Mus musculus: one gene and its partners. The protein of the gene in region 2 purifies or fractionates together with the protein of the main gene of each other region. This does not show direct contact. Links are inferred from orthologs where the notes say so. Each region holds a gene or a part of one and is shown on either strand. Other genes may lie near its edges.

The links.
Region 1: the proteins of Kdm6a (region 2) and Pagr1a purify together in Homo sapiens (affinity purification with mass spectrometry; 5 studies listed by BioGRID and IntAct, with this or other methods). This does not show direct contact. The link is inferred for Mus musculus from reciprocal best matches to the Homo sapiens genes KDM6A and PAGR1.
Region 3: the proteins of Kdm6a (region 2) and Kmt2c purify together in Homo sapiens (affinity purification with mass spectrometry; 3 studies listed by BioGRID and IntAct, with this or other methods). This does not show direct contact. The link is inferred for Mus musculus from reciprocal best matches to the Homo sapiens genes KDM6A and KMT2C.
Region 4: the proteins of Kdm6a (region 2) and Paxip1 purify together in Homo sapiens (affinity purification with mass spectrometry; 6 studies listed by BioGRID and IntAct, with this or other methods). This does not show direct contact. The link is inferred for Mus musculus from reciprocal best matches to the Homo sapiens genes KDM6A and PAXIP1.

The regions. Positions count from the first base shown.
Region 1 is NC_000073.6:127,014,536-127,018,688, forward strand, and holds Pagr1a (PAXIP1-associated glutamate-rich protein 1A), read right to left. Parts: upstream 2,818-4,153; 5' UTR 2,387-2,817; coding exon 1,908-2,386; intron 1,748-1,907; coding exon 1,665-1,747; intron 935-1,664; coding exon 735-934; 3' UTR 516-734; downstream 1-515. UniProt on the Homo sapiens protein: Its association with the histone methyltransferase MLL2/MLL3 complex is suggesting a role in epigenetic transcriptional activation. However, in association with PAXIP1/PTIP is proposed to function at least in part independently of the MLL2/MLL3 complex.
Region 2 is NC_000086.7:18,161,019-18,165,377, reverse strand, and holds the start of Kdm6a (lysine-specific demethylase 6A), read right to left. Parts: upstream 2,804-4,359; 5' UTR 2,373-2,803; coding exon 2,206-2,372; intron 1,995-2,205; coding exon 1,931-1,994; intron 1-1,930. UniProt on the Homo sapiens protein: Histone demethylase that specifically demethylates 'Lys-27' of histone H3, thereby playing a central role in histone code. Demethylates trimethylated and dimethylated but not monomethylated H3 'Lys-27'.
Region 3 is NC_000071.6:25,495,982-25,500,107, forward strand, and holds the start of Kmt2c (histone-lysine N-methyltransferase 2C), read right to left. Parts: upstream 2,803-4,126; 5' UTR 2,570-2,802; coding exon 2,409-2,569; intron 1-2,408. UniProt on the Homo sapiens protein: Histone methyltransferase that catalyzes methyl group transfer from S-adenosyl-L-methionine to the epsilon-amino group of 'Lys-4' of histone H3 (H3K4).
Region 4 is NC_000071.6:27,743,035-27,746,578, forward strand, and holds part of Paxip1 (PAX-interacting protein 1), read right to left. Parts: intron 1,522-3,544; coding exon 1,387-1,521; intron 1,299-1,386; coding exon 1,223-1,298; intron 1,142-1,222; coding exon 1,081-1,141; coding exon of another isoform or gene 1,020-1,080; exon of another isoform or gene 1-1,019.

The DNA of each region.
Region 1 (4,153 bases), on a different chromosome or scaffold from region 2:
GCTGCTGCAGGCCACAGGTCAGGAATTTCCCTCACCAACACTTGGGATGACTTCCCTAATGGGCTGGGCAGGCAGGGGCGGAGCTTGTGTATTTAAAGGGCCCTGCAACTGGATCTTTTGCTCCTCCAGGCTGCACTGAAGTCACCACAGCTGGGGGCAGTTTCTGAATCAGTGCTAACTGGCGGGTCTGGACCGAGACTAGGAAATCAGAGGATGCAGCAGTAAGGGTGGGGGTGGGGGATGGTGGCTGGCTGAGCCTCTGCCTCTTCTGGCTTCAATATTACAGTGTGGAGGAACACAGCTCTGCCTCTGCCCAAGTGAGAATGCGTGCTTGGGTTGAGCTGCAGTCTCTCCTCTGAGAAGATCACCCGGCATCTTTTTTTTTTTTTGGTTTTTCGAGACAGGGTTTCTGTGTAGCCCTGGCTGTCCTGGAGCTCACTCTGTAAACCAGGCTGGCCTCGAACTCAGAAATCCGCCTGCCTCTGCCTCCTGAGTGCTGGGATTAAAGGCGTGCGCCACCACGCCCAACTCATCGGGCATCTTTTATTAGATTTAGCACATCCAGCTCAAAACTGCGAACAGACACTAAACAGAACACACAGGCACTCTCCTGAGAGGCACTGCGCTGGGAGCCTGAGGCCTTCCCCATTACAAGTTCCCCAGAGCCTGGGTTGGGAAAGGCTGGCCATGCCCAGCACAAAACAGTCTGCACCTGTAGGCAGGAGCAGCACCAGTCAGTACTTCCGCTGTCTGGGAAAGAGACTGTTTCCTGAGGATCGGAGTGGAGGGCTGGTGGGGCTGGGGCCCTCTGAGTCTAAGCTGAAGAGGTCTCTCCCGGTCCGGAGGATTTGCTCCTCTAGTTTCTTATGGCGCTTCATGTCTGAGAGGACCTTATCCAGACGCGCCTCCCGTTTCTGGCTCCGGGCTGAGCTTCCTAAGATGGTAGAAAACATGACAGCATTGAGACGTGAGCCCTCCAAGTGCCCACACTTAGAGATCTTGTTAAATACTCCCTTCTTAGGCCTCAGGGGCACAGAGGAGCTAATGTTTAGGTTTGGGCCACACACAGGATGGCTGGTATTAGACTAAGATACCCATAATGCAATGGCTGGGGAACATAACCATCATGTGCAAAGGTCCTGGGGCAGGGGTAGAGGCCAGAAAACTTAAGACTCTCCGTGGACATGCTCTTCCTCTCTGGAATGGAATCCTCGGGAGTAGTACAAGCTGAGGAAAGACGGGACCTCACTTAAAAGGACTCCTCTGGTTGACAATGGTGGATCTGTACAAGCGGAGCTAATGCAACTTGCTGTTGGCTTGGCCGGCTGCGAGAGAGCTCCAGAATGATTCTAAAAGCATATTCTAGGAAGGCCCACAGGCTGGGATGTCAGGTCAGCTCTGGGCATGAACATAGTACTTCAGAGATGTGTTCAACAAACTTTGAACTTCTGGGAAGGTCTGCGGGGTCCCTGATAGGAAAGTATGGCACTGACCTAAGCCAGAACTATGCTGCTACTGTGTGAATGCTACTGTATGAATGCTCCGTCCCACTGCTGGTCAAGATGATGGCTGAAACCAGCCAAGGCCTCAGACCAGCCCACTTGTGGGCGGGGTAACTAGGGGAGGCCCTTTACCTCCCCTCAGTTCTTCCCTCTCATCCGTACCTGGTGTCCGTCTCCTGTCAATCAGTGAGTCCTTTGGTGTCATTGGCTCATCATCAAAGTCAAATTCTGTAGGCATGTGCGGCCTGAAACAGGGTGGACAGAAAGCCAAGGTTGAGAGAAGCACTCCCTAACACCCGCTGGCACACCCCAGCCCGCCGCCTCATCCTTTCCTGCTCTCCCCTCCCTCCAGGCTCCGTGCTCAGGAGAGCAGTCCCGGGAATAATGTGTAAAGCATGGCCTCACTTTTCCTCCTCCTCTTCTTTGGCCTCTGGCTCCTCGTCTGATCTCTCCTCTTCACTCTGGGCCTCTGGGGTAGGCGGCCGGCGGGGTAGGATCTCTGCTTGAAGCTCCAGAGTACCTTGGGTAGCCAGCAGTTCATAGAGCCGCTGGATCTCGGAGGGTGGGGGCATCCAGGACTGCCCATTGGCCGGCAGCTCCACCTCCTCATCGCTGCAGGGCACGCACCAGTCTTCGGCTTCTCCCTCCGCACGCTCGTCGCTCGCAGCGCTGGGAGCTTCTAGTGCCTCCTCAGGCCTGGATCCCTCACGCCCGGCCTCCTCCTGACTGCCTTTCCCCTCTTCCTCGGCCTTACTAGCCGAGACAGAGGGACCTCCAGTGTCCTCCACCGCCAGAGCTTGGAGGCCGGAAGTCACTTCCCCTTCTTCAGACAGAGGCGCTGCTGTGCTGCCTGCAATGGTTCCATGGCCCAGGGCAAGGGACATAGAGTACTAGAGAAGAAGCCCAGCAATAGAGGAGATTCTAGAGTACCAAACCAGTGCGCCTCACCCGAAAGGCTGGAGAGCCTTTCTAGGTCTAGGAAATCGCCAGTCAGTCCAACAGCTGACTGCGGCCAGAGCACCGTCCCCAGGAGGGGGCGCTCAAACCCCTGCAAGGACAGACCCCACCCCACGGACCCAGAATTCTGCCGTTCCCAGGGACCCGCAGGAAACACGCTCGGAGCTGGAAAGGGAAGGGCCTGTTTTCTCGCTTTCACATCGCCTTCTCCATCACCGGGATGGAAGTCATCTTTTTAGACCGGGCAAACCTAGTTCGCGTCTACTCAGCAGCGGTACAAACCTGGAGCTAAAACCCGCCTCCCAGGCTGCGCAGCATCTCAGTACGCAGGCGCAGAGAAATGGCGCGCGGAGGCTCCGCGGTAGTCAAAGCTACTTGGAAGAGGAAAGAGAAGACTTGCGCATGCGCAATTTGGCCCTTAGGACTCATTAACCTCGGCCCATACTAAAGATGGCCACTGCGGCAGCGCATGCGTATTCCGTTCAGTAGGGCCTGCCAGAAAGCAGTACCTTGACTCTGCAAACACAGGGACCAACTGAGGCCAGTCTCATGCATTCTCTGTTTATTAGTGTTTAAGACTCATGCAGCATTCAGCATACAAAAAGGGAGACTCAGTTTTATTTTTTGAAAAGGAATTTTAGTTTTCCCCCAACTTTTTTTTTTTTTTTTAAAAAAGAAAGGAAACAAACAAAAAACCCCGCCAACTCTGAAATGCATCGCAGCTGGCTCTCTGCCTCCTCAGAGGGCTGTCGCGTGCAACAAACCTCCCTCATCCTCTTAGAGAATAATTACAGAGCTCCCCCACCCTTCCCTTGCTCCCTGCAGCTGGGAACTTTGGTCCTGTTTTTGTTTGTTTGTTTTGTTTTGAATTCTACTGTTTACAAAGCACATAAATAGACCTTCAAACAAGAAACTCTGAGGTTAAAAAGCCCAAACGGGCAGATCAATTCAGGCTGACTCTTCAGGCGCAGCTATGCCCCTTCCTCCCCTGGATGTTCAGAATAAGGACTCTCAGAAGGTCCCCCAGGTGAGGACTCACTTGCCAGCTTTGGGACCCAATAGGCACCTTAGGGGTAGGGGTAGGGTATGGTCTGGGCCTGGGTGGTCCCCAGTAGAGAACAGTCAGAGCCCCCAGCTAGGCTCCTCTCCCCACACCATCCTTCTTCCCTCAGCCTGACCTAAGTACTGCAGTTTTTGCAGACTAAGTGTTGGCAGGAGGGTGAAGACGCTAAGGGGGAGATGAAAAGGGAGAAAGGGTCAGGGGACGTGGCAAGGGGAAAAACGGTGTTAAGGAAGGGGAGAACGGGATGGGTTAGATACCAAGACAATGAACGTTGGGAGGCCAGGGATAAGGTTCAGAGGATTCCAGAGGCAGGAAGAAGTGCAGGGAGGCTGGGAGAGATGCAGAGGTGCAGAGTACAATTTAGATGTTCAGGAAGGCTTCCAGAAGTGCAGAGAGGTTTTCAGAGTGCAGGGTTAGGGAGGTCAAGAGGCAGGAGTGGGGTGGGGGTCTGCAGGCAAAAGTGCAGGGAGAAAGGAAGCCTATGGCTGGCAGAGGAGCCTGGCAGGATGCAGGGGGAAAGAAGCTGTAAACAAGGCCGCTCAGGCTCCCTTGGTCCCTAGAGATGGGGGCCAGGGCCATGGACTGGGATTCTCCCAGGACAGGGATGGACCCAAGACAGCTCCCAACAGGA
Region 2 (4,359 bases):
TATAATATCCCACGTTAAGGACAACCATGTGTGATTCTGATAACAAGCATTCTAAGATATGAAAGTAAGAACTAGCACTTTACACATGCACTTAAAACACATTCCACTTATTTCTTCATCACTGTAACCAAAAGGAATAAATTTAGCCTAAATTTCCAAATGAATTATCGCTGAAAGCAACTCTATTAACTCAATTTAAACTAGCAATGTTTACTCCAAAATAAAATGGCCCTTAAATTTAAACACTATATACAGGTGTGTGTACACACACACACACACACACACACATCTTTGGAATGACAACTTTACATTAATCTAATCTTTGTACATAAAATACTTCAAATAGGTTGAGGAAAATCTTGAAAAGAGGGGGCTAACAACTATTTATATTTATATAATTCCAGAGCTAGTTACTGAACATTTTTCCAGCGCTAATTTTAATGAAAGAAAATTAATACCGTCACTGTCAAAGTTCAATTCAAATTTCCTTACCATTCAAAGAAAATGGACCTACCGAAAAAGATTATGACTGTTTTGCCTTATAGTCATTGTCTGCAATCACAAGTTCTTATATTTTGATACTTTAAAATAAAAACGTAATTATGATCACAGATAAAAACAATTAAGGCAGCCAAACCAAAATACATTCAAAAAGTAAGGAGCAAAATAATCAACTTTTTTTAAAGCCGTTAAGCTTTAGTCGCCTTTCTTAAACTTCCCAATTGCAACAATAGAGCTAACAAAGTATCAAATCAAACCTAAAGATTTCCGGCAAAGAAGAAAAGGTCTAATGAATGCAACATCTACCATAGACACTCCAAGTTTGAGAGTCCCAGCTAACAAAAAAACCTCCTCCTACCATTCCAATCACACTTTGGTCAGGAAATATAAACTGAAGTAGACAGACTGAGACTCCAGCCTTTGTTCAATAGCTTACCATGGGTAACTAAATGTGCTACAGGTTGATAAGCATTTACCAGGCGTATGCACGCTATTTCAAAGCTAGAGAAGGGGACAAAAATTCTACATGCAAATAATCTGTGATCATTTTTATTAACTACTGAGCTACATACTCCAAAGGAGAGGCCTATTCTTCTCTGATACTATTTATTTCCCTGTTTACCTCTCCTCCCTCCCCCAAACCTCCCCCGGCTCACTTTCTCCTCCCACCCTGTCCCGCCATCTTGGGCGGACAGAAGCAGCCATTACTTAACTAAATGACAGTACCAACAACTTTGCACACAAATAAACAAGAGACTACACCCAGAATCCTCCCCAACTGCTCCTGACAGACTCACAGGAAACCAAGCTCCAGAAAACGCACTCATACAACTGTGGTAGATCTTTGGCAGAAAGATCCAAAAAGTAAACAAATCACCTAACTTCAGGTAAAGCACACACCGATGATGATACAAGTCAATAACCCCATGCAAACTCTTTACGGACCTAAACTACGTGCAACTTCCCCCTTCAGGGAGCAGAGACAAGAAGCCATCCCGAAATGTTTGACTAAAGCAGGCATCAGGAACAGACTGCCTAAAGAGCCTTAATAACCAGGGAAGATAACGAGCGGGGGATTTAAGGAAATCTACAGCTGTTTACGAACTCATGACCCTCCCTAGGCACCTCAGAGATCATCCGCCTAGCCTCCAAGGGCGGTAAAATCGTAGTCAATTTGGAAGCCCCACATGAGCTTGGCCCCAAAAGCGCCACTGCCTCTGTCCTCTGGCTCCAAGAGAAGTGATCTCTCAAGAGAGCAAGCGAGGTATCAGGGGGTGGAGGGGAGCGCAGTAGCAGGAAATAGTTTTCCGGAAGCCCCTCGGCCGTCTTTCGAGGCCACAATGAGTGGTGACCCGGCCCCGGTGCCCCAGGCGAGCGCGCCTCTGGCTCGAGAGACCGCGTCCGCGCTCCGGCCCGCGGTTTGCCTTACCTTGCCCAGCAGGGCCTTCATCCTGGCGCCATCTTCATGAAACCTCACGAACCCGAAAAGGCGGCTGCGGAGAAAGACACACGCCGCTCGTTAGTGCCCCGGCATCGGCGCCGACCCGTCCGTGCCAAAGCCCGAGGCCCGGGCGTCAGCGGAGCCGAGAGCGCCAAGCCGAGGTGCCCGCCCCACGGCCGCCACAGGCTAGCCGCGCTCCGGCCTCCTCGGAGAGTGGCGCCAGCCTGTCCCGAGCCGCCCGGGCGAGTGCCCGCTCCCCGTACCTGTCCAGTCCGCCGAGCGCCTCCCTCTCCTCCGCTGTCAGGCTGGGGGACGCCTCCTCGCTCTCGCCGCTCGCTTTTCCCGCCGCCATTTTCTTTTCCTCATCACCGAAAGCGGCGGCGGCGGCGGCGGCGGCGGCGGTAGCGAGCGACACTCCGCAGGATTTCATGGAAACGCAGCGAATTCACAACTCCAACGCCGACACCCCCCCTCTCCGGGCCGGAGCCCGCAAGGACGCCTCCAATCTCCGCACAAGACCGGCACACCAACTTTATTTCTGCCTCCTCCTCTGCCGCGAGAGGCGGCAGCGAAAAATCCTAACGCGGTAGAGGTGAAGGCAGAGGCAGCAGAGGCTGTGGAACCACTGGGTCCGGAGCGGCGACGGCTCGGCTGTAGGGTCACATCGCGGGGATGGGAAGGGGGCAGCCACAGGCAGGGTCGGCGGGAATGGCCGGAGCGCGCGAGGAGCGGGAGCTCTGGGGGGGATTCGTAGGAGACACAAACTTCCCCGGCACCAGCACAAAGTTGTTGTAATTGTGTCACACAGCGAACCCCACGCCGCTGCCGTGACCCCCCCCTCACAGCCCGCTCGGCGCAGCCAACCAGAGCAGCCCCTCGCCTCACGTGACCTTTGTTGACTCGCGTCAGTCGTGGCTCCACTTAACTTGCTAGCTGCTTTAGCCCCGCCCACCGAGGCCGCCACAGATCCGAGAGCGGGATGCTCGCCAGTTCTGGTCGGTGGTTGGCTGATAGGCACGTCTGTCCGGAGTAGGGTTGTCACCCAGTGGGAGCAGCCGGTTAGGTTGTGCTACTTAAATACACAGGCAGAGAATGGAGGGGTCCAGGCTGTGTCCCTTCGGGAGCCGTGGTGGGATCGGGGGGGGGAGGGGAGTGCTCAGTCTGGGCGAGGTCCGGCACCGCCTGTAGCGAGCGCCAACGAGAAAGCCTAGGACAGCCTCTGGCTGCCCGGAAGCCCTAGGGTGGGCCAAGACTGTGATTTCGGTGGTCCTGCTAGCGCTCGCGCACTCCGGGAATATCGATCCCGACAGGGCTGGACACCAGCTGAGTCGCGGGGAGGGAACACTCGGCCCCAGACCTCTGCCCTCGGAAGAAGGCGCACTGCTAGAAATAATAGCCTCCACGAGGAGTGCGCCAGAGGAGCAGCAGCCGGCTTCATACCCTGCAGCCTGGGCGCCGCCCTAGACAAGGCCACGCGAAGCCCCATACCCTTTCAAAAGGGGAAGGGGAAAACGTCTCCCGACCCCCGCCCACTCACCCCAGGCAGGGAGGAATGAAGAGTCAGTCGCCTGCAGGGGGTCTGGCGCGCTGGCTCCCGCACCCCACCGCCAAAGGTCTGTCTGTTGGCAGCACTTTCGGGCCAGATATTCCTGCTGCTTGCATATACCCTACGCCCTAGCAGTAATTCGTTATACTATAAAGAAAAAAACAGAAACAGTGAAATTTGTCGAGGGGGATTTCAGAATGTTGGGTTCTGTTGCTGTCATCTCAGTGGGTACTCCATGGAAGAGTAGGAGCTGTATGTGAACTGGCCTTAGAGAAATAGAATCCTCAACACAGCTTCCTGCCAGCCTTTTTCTGCTTCCACTACATAGGAAACCCTTAGCAGTAACATTTGCTTGTTCTGTCCCTCAGGTACAAATAAGTCTGGTGTTTGACCCATAGTATAATCAGGAGATAGACCAAACTTTCCATCGACTATTTTGAAAAGGCAGATATAATGTGATGTATCTCATCACACCTCCAGTCTTTGGGATAGAAAATATTAGTAAATGGACTATATGAAGAAAAGATCCGTTTATAAACCAAGCTTTATATGTTTTATATAAGTTTACACCTGTAATCAATAGGGTATATTTAAATTTAGATTTCAGAATATATAAGTGCTGAGTCAGTAAATCCTAGCTGTGTTCTTCAATGAGAGACTATAAAAGTCCCAACTAATTTTGCAGACAGACAGAGCTTTAAATTGTTGCCTGGAGACTAGTAACTAGATGAATAAACTAGTTTTGTATGGATTATATTTCGTGTTTAATTACACTTTTACAAAACATGTTCTATGGTGTTCTATTTTACTTGACTGAGTGAGTACCAGAGACTGAATATTTTCTATAGCTAAATTAACATACGAATTGTTA
Region 3 (4,126 bases), on a different chromosome or scaffold from region 2:
GGCTAGCCAGAGCTACATAAAGAGAGCCTGTCTCAAACAAACAAACAAACAAACGATATTAGCTTTTGTTTCTTCAGTGCACTCTTTGCAATTCTACACTATTCATTTACTACAAACCTAAATCACATTTGTTACACATCAGTTTCACCTTCTGGGTCCTCACTAACTACAGGCTCTTTTCCTCATGGATACTAATATGGTGTAGAGATACACAATCAAAAACCTCTTTGCTTTCCATTTCACACATTAGTTTCCACTTACATGTTTCCAATACAATTAGAGATTCCACTCCCTTCAAACGTTTTCTAATTTTAAAGAATTTAAAAGTTAGAAGCTAATTACCACTACATTTTACTTCCTTGTAAAGAATTCTGTGTTGCTTTTCAAATCTAAAAAAAAAAAAAAAAAAAATCTAAAACAGAATTGGCCAGAGTGTTCTTAAGACTACACTGTCATTCTTTAGGAAAATGTTTAACTTCTCAAAAGGCCATTTTTTCTTCATTAATAGTGCTAAGAATTAAAATAATTAAGTGGCAATAACTTAAGTGAACCTTCCTCCCGGTTCAAAGGAGTTGCACTAATACACCTTAACTCATCTCAATGGGAAGCACACGGTGTGTGCTCAAGCATTTGCAAGTGCGTGACCCTAACAATGCAAAAATGAGCGCTTGTATGTCTACTCTCTCAAAAAAGAAGAATTAAATGCAAATATAAAACATTTACTTACCTCAAATTAAAGTATAGTAAGATTTTTTAATGTGTTTTGTTTTTTCAAGACAGGGAATTGTCTGTGTTGCCTTGTCTGTGTTGCCTTGTCTGTCCTGGAACTCCCTCTGTAGACCAATTGGCCTTGAACTCCACCTGCCTCTGCCTCCTGAGTGCTAGGCTTAAAAAGATCTTACAGGCCTGTGCCATCATGAACCCTCTTATGAGATGCAGATGTTTTTCAAACAGTGAAATGGGAATGAATCGAAGTAAACTTCTAATATGGCTTAATCCCATGTTGCTTTTTAAAACAGTATTTATGTCAAACTGACCAAGTCCAAAGTTACTCAAAACTCCACAAAACGTCTCCAAATTCCAGTCAAGGCAGGCATAATGTTATCTTATGCAGACCATCACCTTACAAAGTAACAGACAAAATAAACTCGCAACTTTGTATCACAAAGAAGCTAATGTAATAATGTATACATCCTCTATAAAGTGTTTCTCTCAAGATTTTTCACAGCTAGGTAAGAGCTGGCAGGTGATAAAATATACAGGCGACTAAAGGCCCTGGAACATTTAGTAGTAAAAAGATAGCAAACCCTCTCCACCACCCACCCCAAATACACTGTGTCAAGAGCTTAGTGGGTTCCGAGAGGCCAGGGTGCTTGCTTGCTATGGCTCAGTTAACACTATTTTTGCTGCAACCACCAGACACAACAAATGAATGCACGTAAACCAAACAAACAGCCTATCCATAAATGTGCTGACTTCTTCCTGCAAGTCCCAGCGCACCCTTCCACCGCCAACAGTTCAATGAGAATATCATACAATGAAATGAGTAAGCAACACACGCCATTCTGCAACTTTGAAAGACGGTCACCAATCTTCCGCAGCACCCCGAAGAGCCACTATTGCTGATCAACTAACTCATTGGCACTAAAACGGTTTCCTTAATTTTCAAGCCAAGTTGCCGAATAACCACTTTTTAAGACAACACTTCTTGCCCAGTTCATCCACCCGGCACAGTCCTCACGGACGCTCAAAAACAATCGAAAGCCATTGCCTGCCCAGCTGGAGTTGAAGTTACTCGTCCAGCGACGTTTAAAGCTGTCTCCCCTAAACAAAGTGCTCTGGGCCGTCAGCGCCGCGGAACCCGGCCGCGTTCCCGAAACTCCGACTCGCCCGCTTACACCTGGGCCCGTGCGATCCCGAGCGCCGGCTGCGGAGCCGGGCGGTGCGGTTCGGGGCGGTGGGGGATGGGGAGGACAGGCTCGAATGGCTTCCTAATGTATCATTAAGAAGCAAAAGCACCGGTCTGGGAGCAAGAAAAGTTAAAGGAGCCGCGAGCTGACAAAGAGCGCCGGCCGCCGCACCCGGACCACCCGGCCGCGGCGTTTGACAGCTCCGTCCCTGGCGCCCACAGCTTTGTGGCTCCGAGAGGCCGGGCCGGCAGCAAGCTGGGCGTGCTCGGCGGGGCGTGTGCGGACGCCGGGCTAGGCCCTGGGGAAGCCGCCGGGCGGTTCTCCCAGAAGCGAGGCCGAACTCCAAAGTAAAGTGCGCGGCGCGGCCGGCGGGACCTGCGCGGGCGCCGCCGAACCGGGCCGCGCCTGGGCCGCCCCGCCCCCACCGGGCCGGGGGCCTGACAGCTCCGGGCCGCGCCGCCGCTGGCCGCCCGCCTGGCTCCCTCGCGCTCAACTTACTTCTTTCTGGCTCTCTGGAAAGGGGAAGCGCCATCTTTGCGAGGCCGGCCCCGAGGTCTTTTGTCTGCGGCTGCGGGGCTCGGGGCCGGGGCTCCGGGCTCCTCGGGGGGTGCTGGCGGCGGCTGCTGCTGCTCCGCGCTCCGGTCCTCCTCCGACGACATCCTAGTCACCAGGAAAGACACATGGATCCCCGTCCTCCTCCTGGGGGGCTCCTCCCGCCGCAGCGGCCGCAGCCGCCGCCGCTGCTGCTGCTCGAGTTGCTCCTCCCCGGCTCAGCCTCTCGCATTTCCCGCAGCCCCGGGAGCAGCAGCAGCAGCAGCAGGTACCGGGAGAGGCGGCAACATGGAGCTAGCAGGACACGCACTCACACACATCGGCGCGGGCGCGCGCACTCGGCGCGCAGGGGCCGGCGGGGGGCGGCGGGCAAGCGGGCGGGGCGGGCGGGGCCGGCCGCGCGGGGCGGGGCGCCGCGGCCAAGGCTGGGGCCGGCGGGGCCGGGCCGGAGGGCGGCGCCGAGCGGGGCGGGGCGGGGCGCGACGCGAGGGGCGCGGGCCGGGGGCGGCCGCAGGGGTCTCCGCCCGGCCCCTCCCCCAGGCCGCCCGCGGCGGGAGGAGAAAGGGCCGCGGAGGGGGGCGGCGGGCCGGGCCGGGCCGGGGCGGGGCCAGCCACCCCTCCCCCGCGCCGTCAGCCCGTCAGGCCCACGCCGCGGCGAAGTTTTGACAGCTGCTCCAGTTGTTGTGGTGGGTTCCGGGGTGGTGCGAGCGCCGGCCCCTCGGTCGCGCGCTGGCGATCGCTCCCTCACACACTGCTCGCTCACGGCGTTCCCTGTGGCTAGCTCCCTCACGCTCGGTTCAACGCACGGCTAGCTCTCGCTCTTCCCTATCGTTTGCCCGCTCTCCGGCCGGCGCTTTGCTGCCTCACGCTCAGGATCGCTCCCTCACGCTAGCTTTCGGCCCCATCAAGCTTGGCTCCCTCACGCTGGGATCCCTCTCGCTCGCTCGCGAACGCTCCCCCACGCCCGCTCTCTCTCTGGGGGCAGCAAAGGAGGAAGTTTTGCGGCTGTGCGTTCACCACACAAACAACACACGCACACGGCAGTGGCCGTCGCGCGAGGCCTGCACCCGGGTCCCCCGGGGCGACCCGCACCACAGACCTCTCAAACTCGCCGCCGGCTCGCCCACACACAGGCGCCTCCCGCCCCCGCCCCCAGCGCGCTGCTGCCACTCACGGGGCTGAGTCCGCGCATGCGCCCCGCGCTACCCGGCCGCCGCCGCTGACCTCACCGCCCCTCCCCCGCCCGCTCTGACGCGGCGGTGGCTGCAACTCGGGCTCTGGCGGGCGCTAAGCTGCGGACCGGGCATCCGGGATCAGGGTCCAGCCCGGCCGGAGGAGGGGGGAGGGATCGATGTAAACACTCCGGAGCGTGCACCCGCGTGCGGTGCGCGCACGTGCGTCCGCGACCCCCTGCGGGCGTGGGCCGCTCCAGGCCTGGCGGAGTCCCACGTAGGCTTCCCTAGTGCGGCGCAACCGTGGCAGGACAACGTTAGATCCTAACTCCAGCTGTAGTTTCTCCGTCCGACGTCATGTTTTAAACACCGTGAGACCGGAGGCTGCCGTACAAAAAACCAAGCGGACAGGTTGAGTGGGAAAAAAATGTCTCTACACCGAGAGAAATGCATCAGCGTGAACGTTGTGTGTGCTCAAGATTTAAAAATGGA
Region 4 (3,544 bases), on a different chromosome or scaffold from region 2:
CATGGGCAGGTCTTCAGTTGACCAATGTAACCTGAGAAGCAGCTCTACCATGTTCTCAAGTGCAAGCAGTGTTAAGAAGAAGTCTGGAGAAGCCTGGAGAAGTCATCAGAGGATGTGCTGTATAAAGACCAGATGCTACAGCACACCTGCCTCCTGTCACTGTCCAGCTCAGTCTGCTTGGAGGAAGATCCCTGCCAGGGACTCCTGCTAGCTCCTACGGCCACCAAGCTATGTCATCTAGCTCTGTTTACTGAGCTCTCGGGGCTAAGAGGAAGTGTTTGGTAAATGCACTCAGCTGGGTGACACCACACAGATGGAGGACCAATAATGACATCACTCTAATCTGGGGGCTTTTCACACATTAAAGTAACCACCTCAGCTGGGCACAGTGGCTCATGCCTGAAATCCTGGCACTCAAGGTGATCCCTATGAAGTCAGCCCAGGCCACAGGGTGCCAGGCCAGCATGCAATAAAGTAAAACCTCCTCTCAAGTATCTGTGCCCTGGGCTGGAGAGATGGCTCAGTGGTTAAGAGCACTGACTGCTCTTCCAGAGGTCTGGAGTTCAATTCCCAGCAACCACATGGTGGCTCACAACCATCTGTAACAAGATTTGATGCCCTCTTCTGGTGTGTCTTAAGACAGCAACAGTGTTCTCATACATATAAATAAAATAAATCTTAAAAAAAAAAGAAAAACAAAATCTGAGTCCTTCTAAAACTAATAGCTGAGATTTAGTGATACAGACTGTAAACTGACAGGCTTCCTCCCTGGGAGCCTGAAAAACCTTAGCTGTTCAACACAGACCCAGCCACATCTGTACCTTAACTATAATGCCATATCAAGCTGTGTCACTTCCCACCTCATGGCTGTGGAGGGTGGAATAGCCCTCAGGCATAGACTCCCATCTTTTTCTATGGGGTCAAACTGTAAAATCCTTCAACACCTATGTAAGCTAAATAGGCAGGTCACCTGTAATAGCAAGGAAAAAGTCTGGAGACCAGAACCATGATGCCCCTTTTTAACTTGCAAATGCGCCTTCAGCCTCACCTGTCCCTGCAATGCGCCTTCGTAAAGGATATGATTCATAGTCCAGTGTCTGTGTGAGTACTCCAGTCAGGACAAACTCCGCATTGTGAACATCTGAAGGAACAGAACCAAAACTGTTAGGACAAGGCCACTGAGAACACTCACAGGTCAGTGTAGAGGTGCACGGAGCCATACCTATTCCCCTGGCAAAGTACTCGCGACATAAGTGCAGGTCGTTCTCACAGGATATTAAAATGATCTCTGAAAGACTCTAGGGAAAGAGAGAATGAGCTCTGAGTGAGGGCGAGGGAGAAGCACCCACAAGGCACAGCACTGGCGTCTCGGGGCTCTGCTCTCACCTTATTCTGCTTGTGCTCCATGAGCTTCCGGAAGGACGGCTGCTTGGCTAGCACCTTTCCCCCTGCACACTCTACAATTGCCTTCATAGTTGCAAGGCTTGGGCAGATGCCAGGGGTGATATAGAAATACTTTGTCTAGAAGTAAACAGAAACATATCTTTTAAATGTTTTTAATTGCATGCAACTTTTCATAAAGCTTTCTTGGGGCTTTGTTTTTTCCAACAGGTTGTCTGTGTAGCTCTAGAATTTCTATATAGAGCAGGCTGGCCATGAAATCCCAGATCTGTCTGACTCTTATCTCAAAATTAAAGTAGAGAACACCTGCTCTACTGAGATTTTATTACAAGATATCTTAATTTTCTAGAACTATGAAGGTTAAGTTCCCCACTAGCTCCCTATCTTCTGCACCCCCACCCCCACAGGGGGGTTAGCTCACAGAGGGGGTTAACTCACAGAAAGCGTCAATCCACAGAGGGGGTTAGCTCAGAGGGGGTTAGCCCACAGAAGGGGCCAGTCCACAGAGGGGGTTAGCTCACAGAGAGGGTTAGCCCACAGAGGGGTTAGCTCACAAAGGGAGTTAGCTCACAGAGTGGGTTAGCCCACAGAAGGGGTTAGCTCACAGAGGGGTTAGTCCACAGAGTGGTTAGCTCACAGAGGGGTTAGCTCACAGAGAGGGTTAGCTCACAGAGGGGGTTAGCCCACAGAGAGGGTTAGCTCACAGAGTGGTTAGCCCACAGAGGGGTTAGCTCACAGAGAGGGTTAGCTCACAGAGGGGTTAGCTCACAGAGGGGTTAGCCCACAGAGAGGGTTAGCTCACAGAGGGGTTAGTTGAACATTTCCCACATGGACCACATGGCCTGTGGTCAGGAAAAATAACTACATTTAGATGCCGTGGTCATTCTGAACACATTTATAACTCAAGAGTCTGAAAAGACATTGGTGTTGCAATAAGGACAAAAAATCAAAACACTTTCCTTGATGTCACTTAACCAAAAGGTTCAGAATTTCAACTCTCTCCCTGTGTCTTCCATCCTCTCCTTTCTATTGTATAAATCTGAATCTGTGCCTGCCTGAAGGGTATCTTGGAAATCTGTCCCTGTCCCCGAGTCTGCTTCTGTCCCTCACAAAGGGTTTTCCTCTCCTCTTTATTGAGCAGCATTAAAAAAAAAAAAAAAAAAAAAAAAACCATCATATACAGAAGGAACAATGATTTCACAGAAATCTTTAGCTGACTCCAACCAATGCCCAATGATCCAGGCAACAGACAGTATTGCTAACATGACTATAGATCAAGCAGTATCCAAATGGTATGTTCAACATTAATGATGGATATTTGTTTCTAAGATAGCTTCCAGCCCATCTGCTGTTTCCAGCAAAGATGATCAGAACACACGTTGAAGCACACAGCTATCACTCTTAGGTCAGGGACACAGAAGAGTACATAATTTAAGTATAGCTATTTAATAGCTTGGGTTGTAAAAGGTGATTACAAGGGAAATCCAAGGCAAGTAAGGTAGATGATACATTGTTTCTTAAAGGCAGGTTAAACAAAATTCTTACATTGGGGGAGAGAATATGCTCTTGTTTCTACAGGAAAAGAAAAACTATGGATTCCATCCAAATTAATAAAAAATCAGATTTGATAGAAGAAGACATCCCCCGCCCCCCAAAGAAAGATCTTAGCTACAGACAGAAAGAAAGAAATCAAGAAGACCAATAGAACAGGTAACAACATCATTTGCTGATTCCTCTACATAGGAACAGCTCTGAACCTGGCTGAGACATAAAGATGTCTCTAACCGGAACTTCAGCTATATATGCATCGCCCATGGACCTTGAGTCCTCAAACTGTTAGGCTAAGAAATACAATAGTCAGTCAAACTCATGGTCATATTGGGTACCAGTTTAGTTAATTACAATAAAATTTTTCAAAGTTATTCAGTATGGTGGTTTGTACATGCTTAGCCCAGGGAGTGGCACTATTAGGAGGTGTGGCTTCTTGGAAGAAGTATGTCACTGTGAGAATGGGCTTTGAGACCTTCCTCCTAGTTGCCTCAGGAGCCAGCCTTGTACTGTTTCACTTTGAAACAAGATGTAGATTTTTCAGCTCCTCTTGCTCCATGCCTGCCTGCATGCTGCCATGCTTCTTGCCTTGATA